Macaca fascicularis: one gene and its partners. The protein of the gene in region 1 interacts with the protein of each later gene in a pairwise test. Links are inferred from orthologs where the notes say so. Each region holds a gene or a part of one and is shown on either strand. Other genes may lie near its edges.

Region 1 (5,309 bases):
CCTAGGCTTCTAGCCTTACCTATATGCTCTGGCTTCCTTCCCTCTCCTGGCTTTTAAAATAGAAAAATAAATGCCTGCTGGATTGAATTCTGGCCTTTGTAACAAAACCATAAACTGGAAAAATATGAAAGAAAGATGAGAGCCTTACATTTATATTTGGTGTCCCCCTCTTCTGAGGTTCTTCCCCCCACCCCAGGCAAGAATGTAGTGCAAACTCTTCTGAGACTGATGGAAACTATACATTTCTCTAGTGGGATAAAAAAGGTAAATGTGCTTAAAAACTTGAAACAATTTCAGAGGTTATAAATAAAATTCCCGATTTAAGGCCATAATTTTCAAAGTACAGTTCTGAGCCCACTGATGGAACACATAAGGCTGCCAATTTAACCAAATTTGTAGTTCTTTCAACAGTTTTTATAAGACACAGAAATAAAATTTTGTAAACTTAATTAAGATTTTATGACATACTAATGGCTATAATTTAGAATGCCTAAGGGGTTATTAACATTTACAAAAATTTGTCATTTATAAACTTTAGTTCATTAGGAGGTTAATGAAGATATCGATGTTCCCTAAGTTAATTTATAAAATCTTAAATTGCATGCAATTTTAATAGAAAGCCAACAAGCTTTTTTTGGTGCTAGGCAAGATGTTTGTAAATGAAAACTAACATTCAAAAATAGGCAGGAAAACACTGAAAATTAAAAAGTATAGTGAGGAAATAGTCCTACCAGATAAACATACTTTAAAGCCTTTATAATTAATAAAACAGTGTGGTACTGACACACACAGAAGCAGACCAATGGCATACACAGAAAATTTAGAAACAGACTCAAGTATACATGGAAACCTGATGTATGATAAAGGTGTCAACTCAAATGACTGGGCTCAAGATCGATTTTTTAACAAATGACTCTGGGACAAGTGCCTACTTATTTATAGGAAGATAAAATTAGATTTATACCTCAAATTATACACAAAAATAAACTTCAGTGGTGATCAGATATTTAAATGTAAAAAATGAAACCACACACGTATTAGAAAACATGGGTGAATTCTTATACACACACACACACACACAAATGCTTACACAAATACCATTATCCACTAAAATAAACCAATGTTCCTTGAAGAAATGCTAATCCCAGGGCTGGGGCAGGTGAGCTAGGAAAACCTTGTTGTGCCATAGAGTAAGGAAGTATTCAAGTAAGAGCACTTCGACTACCAAATCTAGGACAATTTGAGTATCAGAGTAAACAAAGCAAGCAATGGATTATAACTCATAGAATAAAGAATCCATAGCGCTATACTGATATAAATAAATGAATGAATAAGGGAAAAGATTTTTCTTTGCTGTCCCTTTATTAGAATTCCAACTAATAAATATAGAAGTGATGGAATTACCCATTTAGCAATCATCACAGAATTGTATTTCAGGCAAGAATCACCAACGGATGTTTAAGTATAAGGAGAAACAGGCATTTACTTAGTCTCAAAGTATCTCCCACAAGATACTTATTAATATTTTAAACTTAAAATACAAACCAAATTTTAAGGTATTCAAATCAAAATTTGGATGTGTGTTTTTTTAAGTGTTACACATACCTTAAATTTCTCCAGATTTCTAATTTCACCTAAAAGATGTTTTATTTCACCATTCTTCTGTTCCAACATGGCAAGCAACCGTTCCTGCTGCTCAAATTCAGTTTGAGACCCTTTCATCTGTAGCAACGTGGCGATTTGTAACTAGAAAAATAAAAGTACCCCCTCTAATAAAATTAAGTGAGAGAAAGATTCTGATAACTACTTTTTTGATATAATTCATAGTTTATACTACATTACTTTGAACTCATTTTGGAAACAAAACTAATTAGCTATTTCTAATCTAATAATAAACTTTGTTGTAGACATAACATTTGAATACTTATTCTGACTACTTATGAATGATAACTGAAGTCTGTAACATAATTATTTGTACTTTTGTGAAACATAAAACTGACCTGCATGATTGTGGTCTGAAAGGACACCACTGAACTGGTAAGTAAGCCCGGCCAAATGCTGCAGACTGCTTATCATAAGCACTCGCTCTCATTAAGGTTCTGATGGGTTTCTCAAAAATTTTAATTAACTTTAATTAAGTGAGAAAAACTAAGCTACTGACAGCCACAAATGTTAGATTCACAAATGACATGAAAAGCAAAGATAAAAGGCTATCTTGGGATAGTGGGGCAATCTTCAATACACCATGTTTTAATTTTTTAAGAGGAGCACTCGACTTACCTAATTATACCTACCCGCCCCCCCCAAATCTGGAGTTGCAAAGCTATCAAAGGGAAATTAAGTAGACTCTACACCTAGCATTTCTTTCTGTTTTTGGAAATTTCTGGAGTTGAAAAGAGTGCCTATTAGTTTAAATATAGTTTTGAGTAAAGCAAGCAAAGATATGAGGTTGCAGATGACTTTTAACATTTTAAAGGATATCCTTTTTGTTCCTGTTTCAGATTGGAGGCTAGGCCCACTTAGCCTAAGATTCAGAATGCTTTTAGTCTCTAAAGATAGTTTGGGACATCATGCAACATTGGCAGATTAAAAGTATCCCTGACAAATACTGTAAGAAAACTAAAGTAAATATGAGAAAATTTATAAAGAAATACTTCCCAGACAGGAGAGAGTCTCAGGAAATGAGGCAGCACGATTTGCCTTAGAAATAAAATTCACAGCTGTTGTTCATTAAACACTCATTTGCCAAGTAGCAGGTAAGTATTTTACTACACTTTCATTTAACTGTAGGACAATTCTAAGAGGGGGTTCTATCATCTCCACTTTATAGATGAGGTACTGATGCTTTGAAAGTTAAAATATTTGTCCAAGGTCACAGAGCTAGAAAGTGACAAAACTATGATTCAAACCCAAATCTATCTAACTCCCAAGTTTAATCATTAACCCATTTCTTTGGCAAAGCCCATCATCTGAATAAAAGGAAGGAAGCCTTTCCACATTCCAATTACTACCTCAGTAGAGCAAGGCACAATGGATGAGGGATCAGTATTCTAAGGATGGTTAAAATACTGAAATCTTTCTAATTTCCACATTTTTCTGCTACCTCTTATTTGGCTAGAATGACAACCAACAAAATCCGTAAAATTAAAAAGGTCTGTGTGCTTGACTTGAGGGGCTACAAGGAAAGGGAACCCTGAATAATCCAAATTTCACTCCACAATAAGCCTTGGTGAAAGAGCGAGGAATGGTGAGGCAGCGAGTTTCAGCTGAAGTAGGAACACCAGGGCTATGCCTGGAAAGACATCAGGCCAAGAATAAGAAATAAATACTTTTCTTTCTTCTACTCCATAAAGAAAGATTTAAGTCAAAGCTAGTGAGTAACCAATAAAACAAACAAAAAAATCATTGCTAAACATACTATTACTAAATATTTATTCCAAGATTTTTAAAGTATAAATGAATCTTTTGATTAATTTCAAAACTGATTTTTTGAAATCATGCAGTTCTAGAAATAACTATATGTACACTCCTTGTAGGAAAAGATCGTTTCTTTGATGTATTCAGACATGTAATGCTGACATAAAATTTGTTTAATAAACCTTTGATAGTGATAGTTCTATACCTTCATTCTCTGCATCTGTTCCCTGTTAAATACATTTTGCTTCTTTAGTGACTGATACTTGACTTTCATACTGATAAGCTGACGTTCCATTGCTGCCCTTCGATCTTCTACCTACAAAATATTAACATGCTTAATTGTTCTGGTAGTAAAGGAAAATGCCAATTTAGCAGTTAGAATACTTGTAAGTACCTCTGCAAACAAAGAGTTGCCTTTACTATTGGGGTCCAAAGCTTGCTGGAGTGCCTGGTCCAACTGTACCTGAAGATCTTGATTTGCTACACGAGCTTTCTAAATTCAAAAGAAAACAATTTAGGCAATAGACATTAGATTAGCAAAAAAAATAAGTTATGATAAATTGGAAAAGATGATGTTACTATAATCATAGTACCTCTAGGGCATTATAGTAAGAAACTGCTTCTTTCTCTCGCTCCTCTTTTTCCTCTTTAAGCCGGTCTACCTGGCGCATTAGGTTAGTAATAAGAAGTTCTAGCTGTTCTTGTCTGTATTGTAGTTCATTCACTTCTTCTTTGAGGGTGGTCTATTTAATAGGAATTGAAAAGGAGGAAATTCTCTTGAATAATCTTTCATTTGGCAGCTGCTCAGTTTATCTCAGTTGTGGTTCACATCCAAAATTAAAACTAAAGAACCAGTCAAAAGTTGTCAGGTACATACTAAAATAACAGAAATTACTATTACTGTTAAATTTTTCACCAAGGAAACAAATGATTTTAGAGACTGCCCTTTTTCCTCTATGAATTGCAGGCTTTAATTTTTAATTAAACTTAGCTTTCAACAAAAAAACTAAGTTCACATGCATTTCAGCTTCCACTGAGCCAACTTTTTACACTGGGCTCTTAACGATAAAAACCGGGATCAGAGTATATGCCTCTAAATTCTTCCAGAGGTTTCATTAATTTAAAAGAAAGGCTGCCCTACATAATCATACAATCTAAAGCTATATTATGATTGAAGTCATCCACCTAAAAAAACCCCACTTTTTAATTAGTTAGATGCAAATTAGGTCAAAAAATGTTTCAGCCTTCAAACTAGCTCTTAAGAATTACTACCAAAACATGTAAAAATATGCCAGAAAAAGAAAGAGAAAACCCTGAGAACCACATGCCATAAAAATTACCTTCATGCTCTCCATTTCTGTCAGCTCAATTTGAAGAGCCAGCATCTCTGAAGACATGCTTTCCTGCACACGTTCAGACATTACACGTAGTTCCTCCGATTTACAAGAGAGGAGTTCCTTCTGATGATCTACCTGGTGCTTCAGCTGCTTTTCACTAAGCCTAGCTTCATCTAATTCCACTTTCAGTTTTTCTATCTAAAGCCAAATTTAAAAAAAGTCATAAATTGAAAGTTATTTTCTCTCTAAAAAAACATCACTGATTGAACCAAACTTACTGAATGATGACATTATTGCAGTTTCCTATTTGCCCAAGATTAGGCATCTTTTAACAGATAGTGACACACCTTGTTTAATAAACATAGAAACAATCCATGAGTAATCAGGGTGGGTCTGGATGCCTCAGAAGCAATCTGGAGGCACTGTGATGCTGACCACTTGGCTACTGTGTGAATAATGAGTGGCATGAAGAGAAACAATGGAAGCAAGCAACCTGGTCAGAAGGCTACAGCAGTAGTCTAGGGAAGAGATGATGAAGGTCTGGATTGGAGTGGC
Region 2 (5,309 bases), on another chromosome or scaffold:
GTGCAATGGCACGATCTCAGCTCACCGCAACCTCTGCCACCTGGGTTGAGGCAATTCTCCTGCCTCAGCCTCCTGATTAGCTGGGATTACAGGCACCTGCCACCACGCCCCGCTAATTTTTATAGTTTTGGTAGAGATGTGGTTGCGCCATGTTGGCCAGGCTGGTCTCAAAATCCTGACCTCAGGTGATTCACCCACCTTGGGCTCCCAAAGTGCTGGGATTACATAGGAGTGAGCCACTGTGACCGGCCAATTGTTATATTTTTAGTAGAGATGGGGTTTCACCATGTTGGCCACGCTGGTCTCAAAATCCTGACCTCAAGTAATCCGCCCACCTTGGCCTCTCAAAGTGCTGGGATTACAGGCATGAGCCACCGTGCCTGGCCAGAAATTTTCTTTTTATTTTCAGATGGAGTCTCACTGTGTTGCCCAGGCTGGAGTGCAGTGGTACAATTTCAGCTCACTGCAACCTCAACCTGCCAGGTTCAATCAATTATCCTGCCTCAGCCTCCCAAGTAGCTGGGATTACAGGCATGCGCCACCACACCCAGCTAATTTTGTACTTTCAGTAGAGACGGGGTTTCTACTTGTCGTTCAGTCTGGTCTCGAACTCCTGACCTCAGGTGATCCACCTGCCTTAGCCTCCCAAAGTGCTGGGATTACAGGCGTGAGCCACCACGCCCGGCCCTATTACCTTGTTCTTATCCATGTTATTGTACTTCCCACACAGTGTTTTAAGTATTTGTGTATGTCTCTCTCCTCCTGATTTCTGTTGTTCAGTGCCTATAGTCTGGCAAATAGCAAGCAATCAATAATTGCTTATTTAATGGCTGAATAAATGAATAGGAAGGAAGAAAGGAAGAAGAGAAAGAGGAGGAAAGATTATATATGGTATTACTCTTGGGAGTTAGAAGAGCCAACCTGTCAGTTCCAGGCTTCTAACCTTCAGAAAAATTGCCAACTCTAGCTAAACGCCACAAAACAATTCCTGGTGTTGTAACAGACAAGAGAAAAGACCAAGAAAAAGGAAAAAGAAAAGAAAAATACAGATATTGTGGTAGACAGATAATGCCCCCCGCCCCCCAAAAAAGATGTCCATATTCTAATCCCAGAACCTACGAATGTTACCTAACGTGGCAAAAAGGACCTTGCAGATGTGATTAAGTTAAAGAGCTCGATGGAGAGAGTACCCTGGATGATGTAGGTGGGATTTATATAAACACAAGAGGCCTTATAAAAGAAAGAAGGAGGCGGGAGAGTCAGAAAAGGAGAAGAGACTATGGAAGCAGAGCTCAGAAGAATGCAATCAGTGGCTGGGGAGCCACAATCCAAGGAATGCAAATAGCTTAGAAGCTGGAAATTTAAGAAAATAGCTTTTCTCCTAGAGCCTTCAAAAGGAATGCAACTGATACCTAATTTTAGCCCAGTAAAACTCATTTGGACTTCTGAACTACAGAACTATAGATAATAAATTTGTGTTGTTTTAAGCCACAAACTTTGTGGTAGTTTGTTATAGAAGCAATAGGAAAATAAACACAGAATCATATATGATGAAATATAATAAATAATATCTATAGCTGCCTCAAAATATGAACACAAACTGCCACTCAGAATATACCAGAATTCACTGTTTTTGATCAGTATGTTAAAATATTCATGGCCGGGTGCAGTGGCTCACGCCTGTAATCCCAGCACTTTGGGAGGCTGAGGTAGGCGGATCACCTGAGGTCAGGAGTTTGAGACCTGCCTGGCCAACATGGTGAAACCCCGTCTCTACTAAAACTACAAAAATTAGTTGGGCGTGGTGGCAGGCGCCTGTAATCCCAGCTACTCAGGAGGCTGAGGCAGGAGAATCGCTTGAACCTGGGAGGTGGAGGTTGCATTGAGCCAAGATTATGCCATCACACTCCAGCCTGGGGGACAAGAGCGAGACTTGGTCTCAAAAAAAAAAAAAAAAAAAAAAATCCATATACAAATGAATGAATAAAATGACTGCCCAGATATAAGATAATTTCTGGGATAATATGGTAATCTTCTTTGTGTTTGAGCCAGTGACCTGAAAGGCAGTAAAATGGTCCTCTTTTAAAAATGGATTTCAATAGGTCCCACACCGGGGCTCATGCCTGTAATCCCAGCACTTTGGGAGATCGAGGTGGACGAATCACTAGAGGTCAGGAGTTCGAGACCAGCTTGACCAACATGGTGAAATCCCGTCTCTACTAAAAATACAAAAAATATTAGCTGGGTGTAGTGGTGGATGCCTGTAATCCAAGAGTAAAACCATAGACTTGGGAGGCTGAGGCAGAAGAACTGCTTGAATCTGGGGGGTAGAGGTTGCAGTGAGCTGAGATTGCACCACTACACTCCAGCTTGGGTGACAGAATGAGACTCTATCTAAAAAAAATAAATAAATAAATAAAATAAATGGATAAGAATAATCAAAACAGCTCTAGCTTTGCAAAAAGTCTGTTTTTATGGGAGACATCAGGAAGGACTTATGTCAAATGTAAAAGGCATTTAAAAGGAATTTTAATAAGCATTCCAAAAGATGTAATTTTTTTTTCATTTTTATGACATTTAAATAAAAAAATAAAATTAGAGCCTCATTGCCTTGTTATCTGACTTTTTAAATATGGAGGCCCTGTCTACCTTATTTGCTTATTTGGATTATCTTTCTGCAACAACACACAAACAGACAAAATATCTAGAGAATGTGATAACTACTTTTTTTGTTCAAAGACAGGGTCTCACTCTGTTGCCCAGACTGGAGTGCACTGGCCAATCATAGCTCACTACCGCCATGAACTCCTGAGCTTAAGGGATCCTCCCGCCTCAGCCTTCCGAGTAGCTGGGACTACAGGTGCTCACCATAACGCCAGGCTAATGTTTTATTTTGTTTGTTTTTTTGTAGAGACAAAATCTCACTTTGTTGCCCAGGCTGGTCTCGAACTTCTGGCTTCAAGTGATCATCCCACCTCGGCCTCCCAAAGGGCTGGGATTATAGGCATGAGCTACCATACTCGTCCTGTGATAACTACTAATGTCTTCATACATGATAAAGCTCATGATCAGAGTTCAAACAACTTACTTTCCTTTATCTTTCAACCATTCGGGGTTCTTTTCTTCTTCTTTTAAATCGCAAAGTTCAGGAATGTCAGTATTCATTGCTCTTCGTGCCTCAGCTTGTTTGTGTAGCCACTAGAATGAGAAAGAAGTCCTATGAAGAAGAAAAAGGTCTTTTTTAAAAATTAACATTTCCTTTTAGATTTTCCATCTTCCTCCAGTGGATGGAAATATTATTTGTTATGCACTGAATGTTTGTGTCTTCCCCACTTCTCCTCCAAATTGATATACTGAAGCCTTAACCATCAATGTGAATCAGTATTTGGAAGTGGGGCCTCTGAGAGGTAATTAGGTTTAGGTCATGAGAGGAGAGCCTCCAGAATGAGTTTACTTTCCTTATAAGAAGAAAGAGATCAGAGCTCCCTCACCCACTGTGAGGACACAGTGAGAAAGTGGTTGTCTACAGGTTCTGATGAGGGCTCCTACCAAGAACCATGCTGGCACCCTGATCTTAGATTTCCCAGCCTCCAGAACTATGAGAAATGACTCTTCATTGTTTAAGCCACCCAGTCTATGGTATTTTATTTATAGCAGCCAGAGCAGATTAACATACTATTTGATAATGGTAACTTTTTTTTTTTTTTTTTTGTCTTGCTCTGTCACCCAGGCTGGAGTGCAAGTGGCACAATCTTGGCTCACTGCAACCTCCACCTCCCAGGTTCAAGTGATTCTCCTGCCTTAGCCTCCCAAGTAGCTGGGATTACAGGCGTGTGCCACCATGACCAGCTAATGTTTGTATTTCTAGTAGAGACGAGATTTCACTATTTTGGCCAGGCTGGCATTGAACACGTGACCTCATGACCACCCACCTCGGCCTCCCAAAGTGCTGGGATTACAGGCATAAGCCACCCCACCTGGCCGACGATGGTGATGTTAATCTTGCAATATTTATACATTGTTAAACTTTTTTTTTTTTTTTTTTGAGACATAGTCTCACTCAGTTGCCCAGGCTGGAGTACAGTGGCACGATCTCGGTTCACTGTACCCTCCACCTCCCGGGTGCAAGCGATTCTTCTGCCTCAGCCTCCTGAGTAGCTGGGACTACAGGCATGCACCACCACGCCCAGCTAATTTTTTGTATTTTTAGTAGAGACGGGGTTTCACCATATTGGCCAGGCTGGTCTTGAACTCCTGACCTTGTGATCCACCCGCCTTGGCCTCCCAAAGTGCTGGGCTTACAGGCTTGAGCCACCATGACCGGCCTTAAACTTTTTTTAAACCTCATTAGCTGGTTGAAATATAATAGATAGAAGTTTCTAGCCAAATTTCTTGTTTTCTGGGAGTTCATGTGATATTATTATTATTATTATTATTTTTCCTGAGATGGAGTCACACTCTGTCCTCCAGGGCTGGAGTGCAGTGGCATGATCTCAGCTCACCGTAACCTCCGCCTCCTGGATTCAAGCAATTCTCCTGTCTCAGTCTACTGAATAGCTAGGATTACAGGCATGTGCCAGCACGCCTGGCTAATTTTTGTATTTTTAGTAAAGATGGGGTTTCACCATATTGGCCAGGCTGGTCTCGAACTCTTGCCCTTGTGATCTGCCCACCTCGGCCTCCCAAAGTGCTGGTATTACAGGCGTGAGCCACCATGCCCAGCCCATGTGATTATTATTTTGCCTTTCTTCGTTATAGTATTTTCATTCTTCTATACTGAAAAATATACAGAAGGTCACTTGAGCCCAAGAGTTCAAGGCTACAGTGAGCCATGATTGCCCCACTGTACTCTAGTCTGGGCAGCAGAGCAAGACCCCAACTCTAAAAAAATAAAAAGGGGTGTGTGTGTATATGTGTATAAACACAATTTAAAAATAATTCTAACTGTATACTTATAGAAATGTTATAAATACAGAAAATACATTGTTTAATAATACAAAAAAATTAATATTTATATTGTCATTGACTTTTTTTTTTTTTGAGACGGAGTTTCGCTCTGTCACCCAGGCTGGAGTGAAATGGTGCAATCTTGGCTCATTGCAACTTCCACCCCCTGGGTTCAAGTGATTCTACTGCCTCAGCCTCCCGAGTAGCTGGCAGATGCCTGCCACCACACCAGGCTAATTTTTGTATTTTTAGTAGCGATGGGGTTTCACCATGTTGGCCAGGCTGGTCTCAAACTCCTGACCTCAGGTGATCCACCCACCTCGGCCTCCCAAAGTGCTAGGATTACAGGCGTGAGCCACCGT
Region 3 (5,309 bases), on another chromosome or scaffold:
ATAGCTTTACTAAAGCTAAGAAGACAATATTATTAACTGCAAAAGTACAAGTAGGGAAGAGTTCAATAGTCAAGGATAACTTCAAAGATTCCAAAAGAAAAATAAGGGCAAGTTTGACAATGGGACTATTTGGAGATGCTTGCCGAATAACCCCATTTTTCTGTCTTTGTTTCTTTTTTAACCTATTTAGGGAATTCTTATTTTTCCGCCTTTAAGGGGGAAAAAAAGAGAAACTATTTAAAGAGCCATGTGGCATTGCTTTTTACAGAAAATAATTATAATTCATTATAGTTACTATAAACATGTATACAGCTTAACAATATTTAGGTCACAAGCAAGGCAGTCTTTGAGCAGTCAGAATAGTCTTTTAAAAATGGGCAAACACTTAATGAAATAAAAAGGTAAATAATCAAATAATCATTTTGTTGGAAGATTACTACCAATGTCATGATAGCAAAAGTAACAAGTAAACTGGACCTTAAACTTGTTATATCATTTGTTCATTGTTATTAAAATACATTTAGTTCTCCTGCATCATATAGAAAAGTCAATGGGTAAAGGATCATTTAAAATCAATATCTGAACTAGCACTGCTGAACCAAAGATTCTCCAGCACCTGGATGAATTACATACTAATTCTTTAAACAAGTATAATACAAAATCATAGTTCATACTTCTTAAATGGTAATATAAAAAGTCACAGATTACTCATGGGAATAATAAAGCTTGGTTATCAAAGTCTTCCAGGTGCCCAGACACGCCATTTTTTAAAAAAATCTGTCATTTTAAGTCTAAAAACTAAAGTTATTTCAGTAAAACATAGCTAAAATAAATCTGAATTATTTTAAACATTTTTTAGAGAACAACTACCAGAGAAATGTCTTTTCCTTTTCAGTTCCAAGAGCTTAAATGAAACATTCATGCATTAAATTCAAAGTGTGACTGTCAAATCATTTCACTTTAATAAAAATTTGAATTACCTGCCTTAGGGCATTATTAAATATCAAATAAAAAGTACACACACATAAGTCTGATTCCCAATATAATTTTTATATAGAACTCTGACTAGATTTGTATTACACATTTCAAGATAAAAGGATAAAAAATGTATTCATAAAAAAATGAAATCAGAATTAGAGTCACCTTAGAATTCCTGTACTATTCTTAGGAATTTGGGAGCAAATTATGCCCTTTAAGTAATCTCAGCCACCAAGATAAGAATACAAATCCATCTTCCTATCAGAAATAGTACCTAAATTGTAATTAACTCAAAACTTTGAAAAACTACACATTATTCATCTATCATATAAAGAATACAAAGTACGTGAAATATACAAAATCTCATAAACAACGTTTTTCTCTCTCTCTCTCTGTGTGTGTGTGTGTGTGTGTGTGTGTGTGTGTGTAAAAGAGGGACAGAAAATAATAATAGTAATTTAGCTATTTAGAGAATGGCAACTCTGGTCTAGGACCAGATACAAACCAGATATTCAAGGGAATAATCTCCCTTCATTAAAAGTATCATTTACAGTTATTCACATTCACAGGGAGTATACTAACTAAACCTAGACTGGATAAATGCATGCATTCACGCTTTGCAACCCTCATCCCACCCCCGCTGCCTCTTGGCCTCTCCTATGAACACATCCTTCCTTTTTCCTCTGCTCCTATCCTATCTTCCCTACTGTTCTCCTGCTCCTAGCTCCTGCCCCATTCATCATTAAATGATAAGAGCAAGTCATGGGTACACAGCAGCTCTAAACTACCACCTCCTTCTTTCTTCCTTCCCATTGCAGCACAGAGAGTGCCCATCCTCTCAGCAAAAGCCAGGCTCCCTGTGTGTTTAGGATTTCATCCCTTTCCACTTTTCAGACTTCACTGTTCCAGCTCCTCCCAAAAGCAGCACCTTCAGCCTCTCTCCATCTGCTTGCTCCTTTTCCATCCCCCAGTATATAGACAAGTTCTATTTCTTTTGTTTAAAAAAGAAAAAAAAAAAAAAAAGATTTCCTCAATCCCACCCCCTCTCTGTTGCTGTGGCCTCCTGCCCCACTCCAGCCCAGCCCACCAAGGTGGCTGCGACCTGGAGTCTCCAGCTCCTCCCTTCCTATGTCCTTCAGCCTGCTGCAACAGAATCCCTCCTTGATGTGCCACTCAAACGCCAGTGTGGCAGAACTCTTTAACCTCTGCCCATGTCGTGGTGAAGAAAAAGGGGTCTGCCAGTCAAGCTACCTGGATCTGCTTTGGCTCCACTGGTCAATAACTGTATTACTTTGGGCTGTAGCCTAACTTCTCTGTGTCTTGGCTAACTTGCCTGTAAAGCCTCCCACAAGATTTTATACACACTTAATTAAGTAACTCCATTAGATCCATCAGAGCATTATATGAACATATACAATGTCTACACCCAATACTTCCCTATTTCAACCCAGACTTGTTTTCTCTTCTCTACTCTGGAAATTCTAATGACTTTCACGACCAGAGTCCACCATTGCAGTTTGGCTGACAGGCATCTCTCACTCACTGTGCTGCAACTCAACTCTTCATCTTCAACCAAACAGGGCCTCCCCGCAGCTTTCCCACTGCCACTCAGTGACACTCCATCCAGGGTTTCCAAAGTGTAAAACCCCAGAAGTTATCTTTGACACTTCCATCTCCTTCCACCCCTTATCCAATTCATCATGAGCTAGAACCTGTGATTTCTATTTCACATACATTAACTTCTCTCCACCTCCACTGTTTCTATTCTAGTGTCCAAGCCTCCGCATCTGTCACCTCGGCTACCTGACAGACTTCTTTGTTTTTTTGTTTTGTTTTATGTTATTTGAGACATGGTCTCACTCTGTCACACAGGCTGGAGTGCAGTGGTGCGATCTCAGCTGACTGCAGCCTCCACCTGCCAGGCTCAAGTGATCCTCTCACCTCAGCCTCCTGAGTAGCTGGGACTACAGGTGTATGCTACCACACCCAGCTAATTTTTAAATTGTTTATAGAGATGAGATTTCGCTGCTTCCCTAGGTTCCATTCCAACAGATGCTTTCCCCTTAGGAAGCTATGGTTTGCCAATGATGTACAATGACCTATACACTCTTAGTTAATTTACAAGGTAAAGAAATAATCCAATATATAGTCTTTTTTAATATTTTATCTCTTACACGTTTGTGATATTTTATTTTGTTAGTTCCTTAAGAGTAAGGAATACATACATTGAATTCAGTATATTAAAATATATAATGTTTCAACCAACAGTGTACCATATTTAGATAATTAATAACTGCTTCTCAATTTATCAAATAAAAAGCGCTTCCATAGAAGAAGTATTTCAATGCATGCCAGATATGCTCCCTACCCTGAGAAACAAGAGGATCAATTGTGCAGGAGACAAGTAGGATCCACACTGAGGCTCACATGTTCCCCAAGCCCCCTCCTGTGTGCTCCTTGGTCACTGGGACATGACTCGTGCTGCTTCAAGGGGACAACATGGTAAGTTACTAAAGAGGTATGCGTGTCACTTTTTCTGGGCCTCAGGGTGTCTTTCCTTATGAAAGCCACCAAAACTTGGAATTAAAGGCTACTCTGATAGGAAAATATAATCGTAGTTTTTCTTCAATACTGCATAAGATTAAAATAACTACTTGACCTGTAATTAACAGAGCTCAAGAATGTGTCATAAATTTTATCAAGATGAAGTACATATGTTTTTATTACTAAATTACCAGGATCACCGTAAGTGTACCTTTGGTATGCTAGGTTTAAGTAGCTGTGCACCTCATTTTCCTTACTTAATCTGGACATACCCTCATGAAGATAGGGTTCCTGTCCTCTTTGGCTACTGAAATGCAGCTCTAATGACTCTGTCACTAAGAGGCTGAGTGGGCCGAAAGTTGTCTCCCAAAATCCCATCACAGCCTTCCACAAGTTCTGCCCCCTTAACATGCGTCCTCAGCCTTCGAAATTCTTCTATCTGAAAATAAAAGCAGAAGAAAATAGATTAATCAATTATCAGACATGAACAAGATTGGAGTTTCATAAATGGCATGCATAACATATGCATAAATTACAACAATTATTAAAGAGAAAATTAAAATTAAGCTTCCAAAAGAAAAAAAAACAGACTTAATTCTTCCAGACCTAAGACATTAGACAGGACCCTTTCAAGAGATGGCAACAGAAGTAGACATATCAAGGTCTCTGAACAACTCAAAGAGACACAGAAATCTGCTCCATTTGTTAATGTAAAAATGATACAGGCTGGGCGCAGTGGCTCACACCTGTAATCCCATCACTTTGGGTGGCTGAGGTGGGCGGGTCACGAAGTCAAGAGTTCAAGACCAGCCTGACCAACATGGTGAAACCCTGTCTCTACTAAAAATACAAAAATTAGCTGGGCAAGGTGGTGTGCGCCTGTAATCCCAGCTACTCAGGAGGTTGAGGCAGGAGAATCACTTTGACCCATGAGGGAGAGGTTGCAGTAAGCCGAGAATACACCATTGCACTCCAGCCTGAGCAACAGAGCCAGACTCCATCTCAAAAAAACAATGATACATACCTCTCCCAAAAAGGTTTTATGCCTATCCATAGCATAATAAGAAAGAGTGAACAAATGAATGTGCTCTTAAATGCTTTCCAAGTACATTTTAATTAATGAATTATTATGTTACTGTATGTAAACACTGATTAGATCTTAGATTTATCAGATGGATTCGAGGTTTCCTTTCATCAAAAGACTTTTGCAACTTTTCTAGCCCTCTGGAGAGCACAGGTCCAAAAAATGATTTTCTAAAAGCCTGAGCCCAACTTCCTGTCTTCACAATATTGATTTTCAAGTTCATTTCCCTTTCTTGGTTGGGCTCTCCAGGTCCCATGGCTTCCCCACTGTAAGTGAAGAGGTTCTCAGAGTCCTCAGGGACCTTGCCCATCAGCCGCCCTACAGTTTCTCTAAGAACCTAGAGCCTGCCAGACATGACTCTATGGGAAATATTAATGTTTAAGCAACAAGCAAAAGTGATGAGCGTTCCCCAGGCTTATTTCCATTTATCTATTTCATTACAGGGTTCACTGTTAATTCACTTAAGTGCCAGATAGTCACGACACATTCTTCATTCCGTATACAGAAGGGGAAATTGAGGCTGGAACAGTTTTGAAAATTACCAGATTAGCTAGTGGGTAAGTCTGACGATTCCAAGTCTACCTGCTCTTTTCTCAGCTCCACAGCCATCTCTTTAGGAATTCTAGTCAATTCAGTATAATCTATCTCCTTCATACACCCCAGGGTATTGAGCATATGTGATCTGGGCAGCATCAATACACCA

The links.
Region 2: the proteins of SPDL1 (region 1) and DNAAF4 interact in binary tests that used the Homo sapiens proteins (3 or more experiments, as listed by UniProt). The two-hybrid records come from large-scale screens. The link is inferred for Macaca fascicularis from reciprocal best matches to the Homo sapiens genes SPDL1 and DNAAF4.
Region 3: the proteins of SPDL1 (region 1) and CA8 interact in binary tests that used the Homo sapiens proteins (3 or more experiments, as listed by UniProt). The two-hybrid records come from large-scale screens. The link is inferred for Macaca fascicularis from reciprocal best matches to the Homo sapiens genes SPDL1 and CA8.

What each region holds. Positions count from the first base shown.
Region 1 is NC_088380.1:176,413,199-176,418,507, reverse strand, and holds part of SPDL1 (protein Spindly), read right to left. Parts: intron 4,953-5,309; coding exon 4,758-4,952; intron 4,161-4,757; coding exon 4,011-4,160; intron 3,911-4,010; coding exon 3,812-3,910; intron 3,734-3,811; coding exon 3,623-3,733; intron 1,747-3,622; coding exon 1,606-1,746; intron 1-1,605. UniProt on the Homo sapiens protein: Required for the localization of dynein and dynactin to the mitotic kintochore.
Region 2 is NC_088381.1:31,926,378-31,931,686, forward strand, and holds part of DNAAF4 (dynein axonemal assembly factor 4), read right to left. Parts: intron 3,218-5,309; coding exon of another isoform or gene 3,199-3,217; coding exon 3,089-3,198; intron 1-3,088.
Region 3 is NC_088382.1:70,156,594-70,161,902, forward strand, and holds part of CA8 (carbonic anhydrase-related protein), read right to left. Parts: intron 3,962-5,309; coding exon 3,827-3,961; 3' UTR 3,795-3,826; intron 1-3,794. UniProt on the Homo sapiens protein: Does not have a carbonic anhydrase catalytic activity.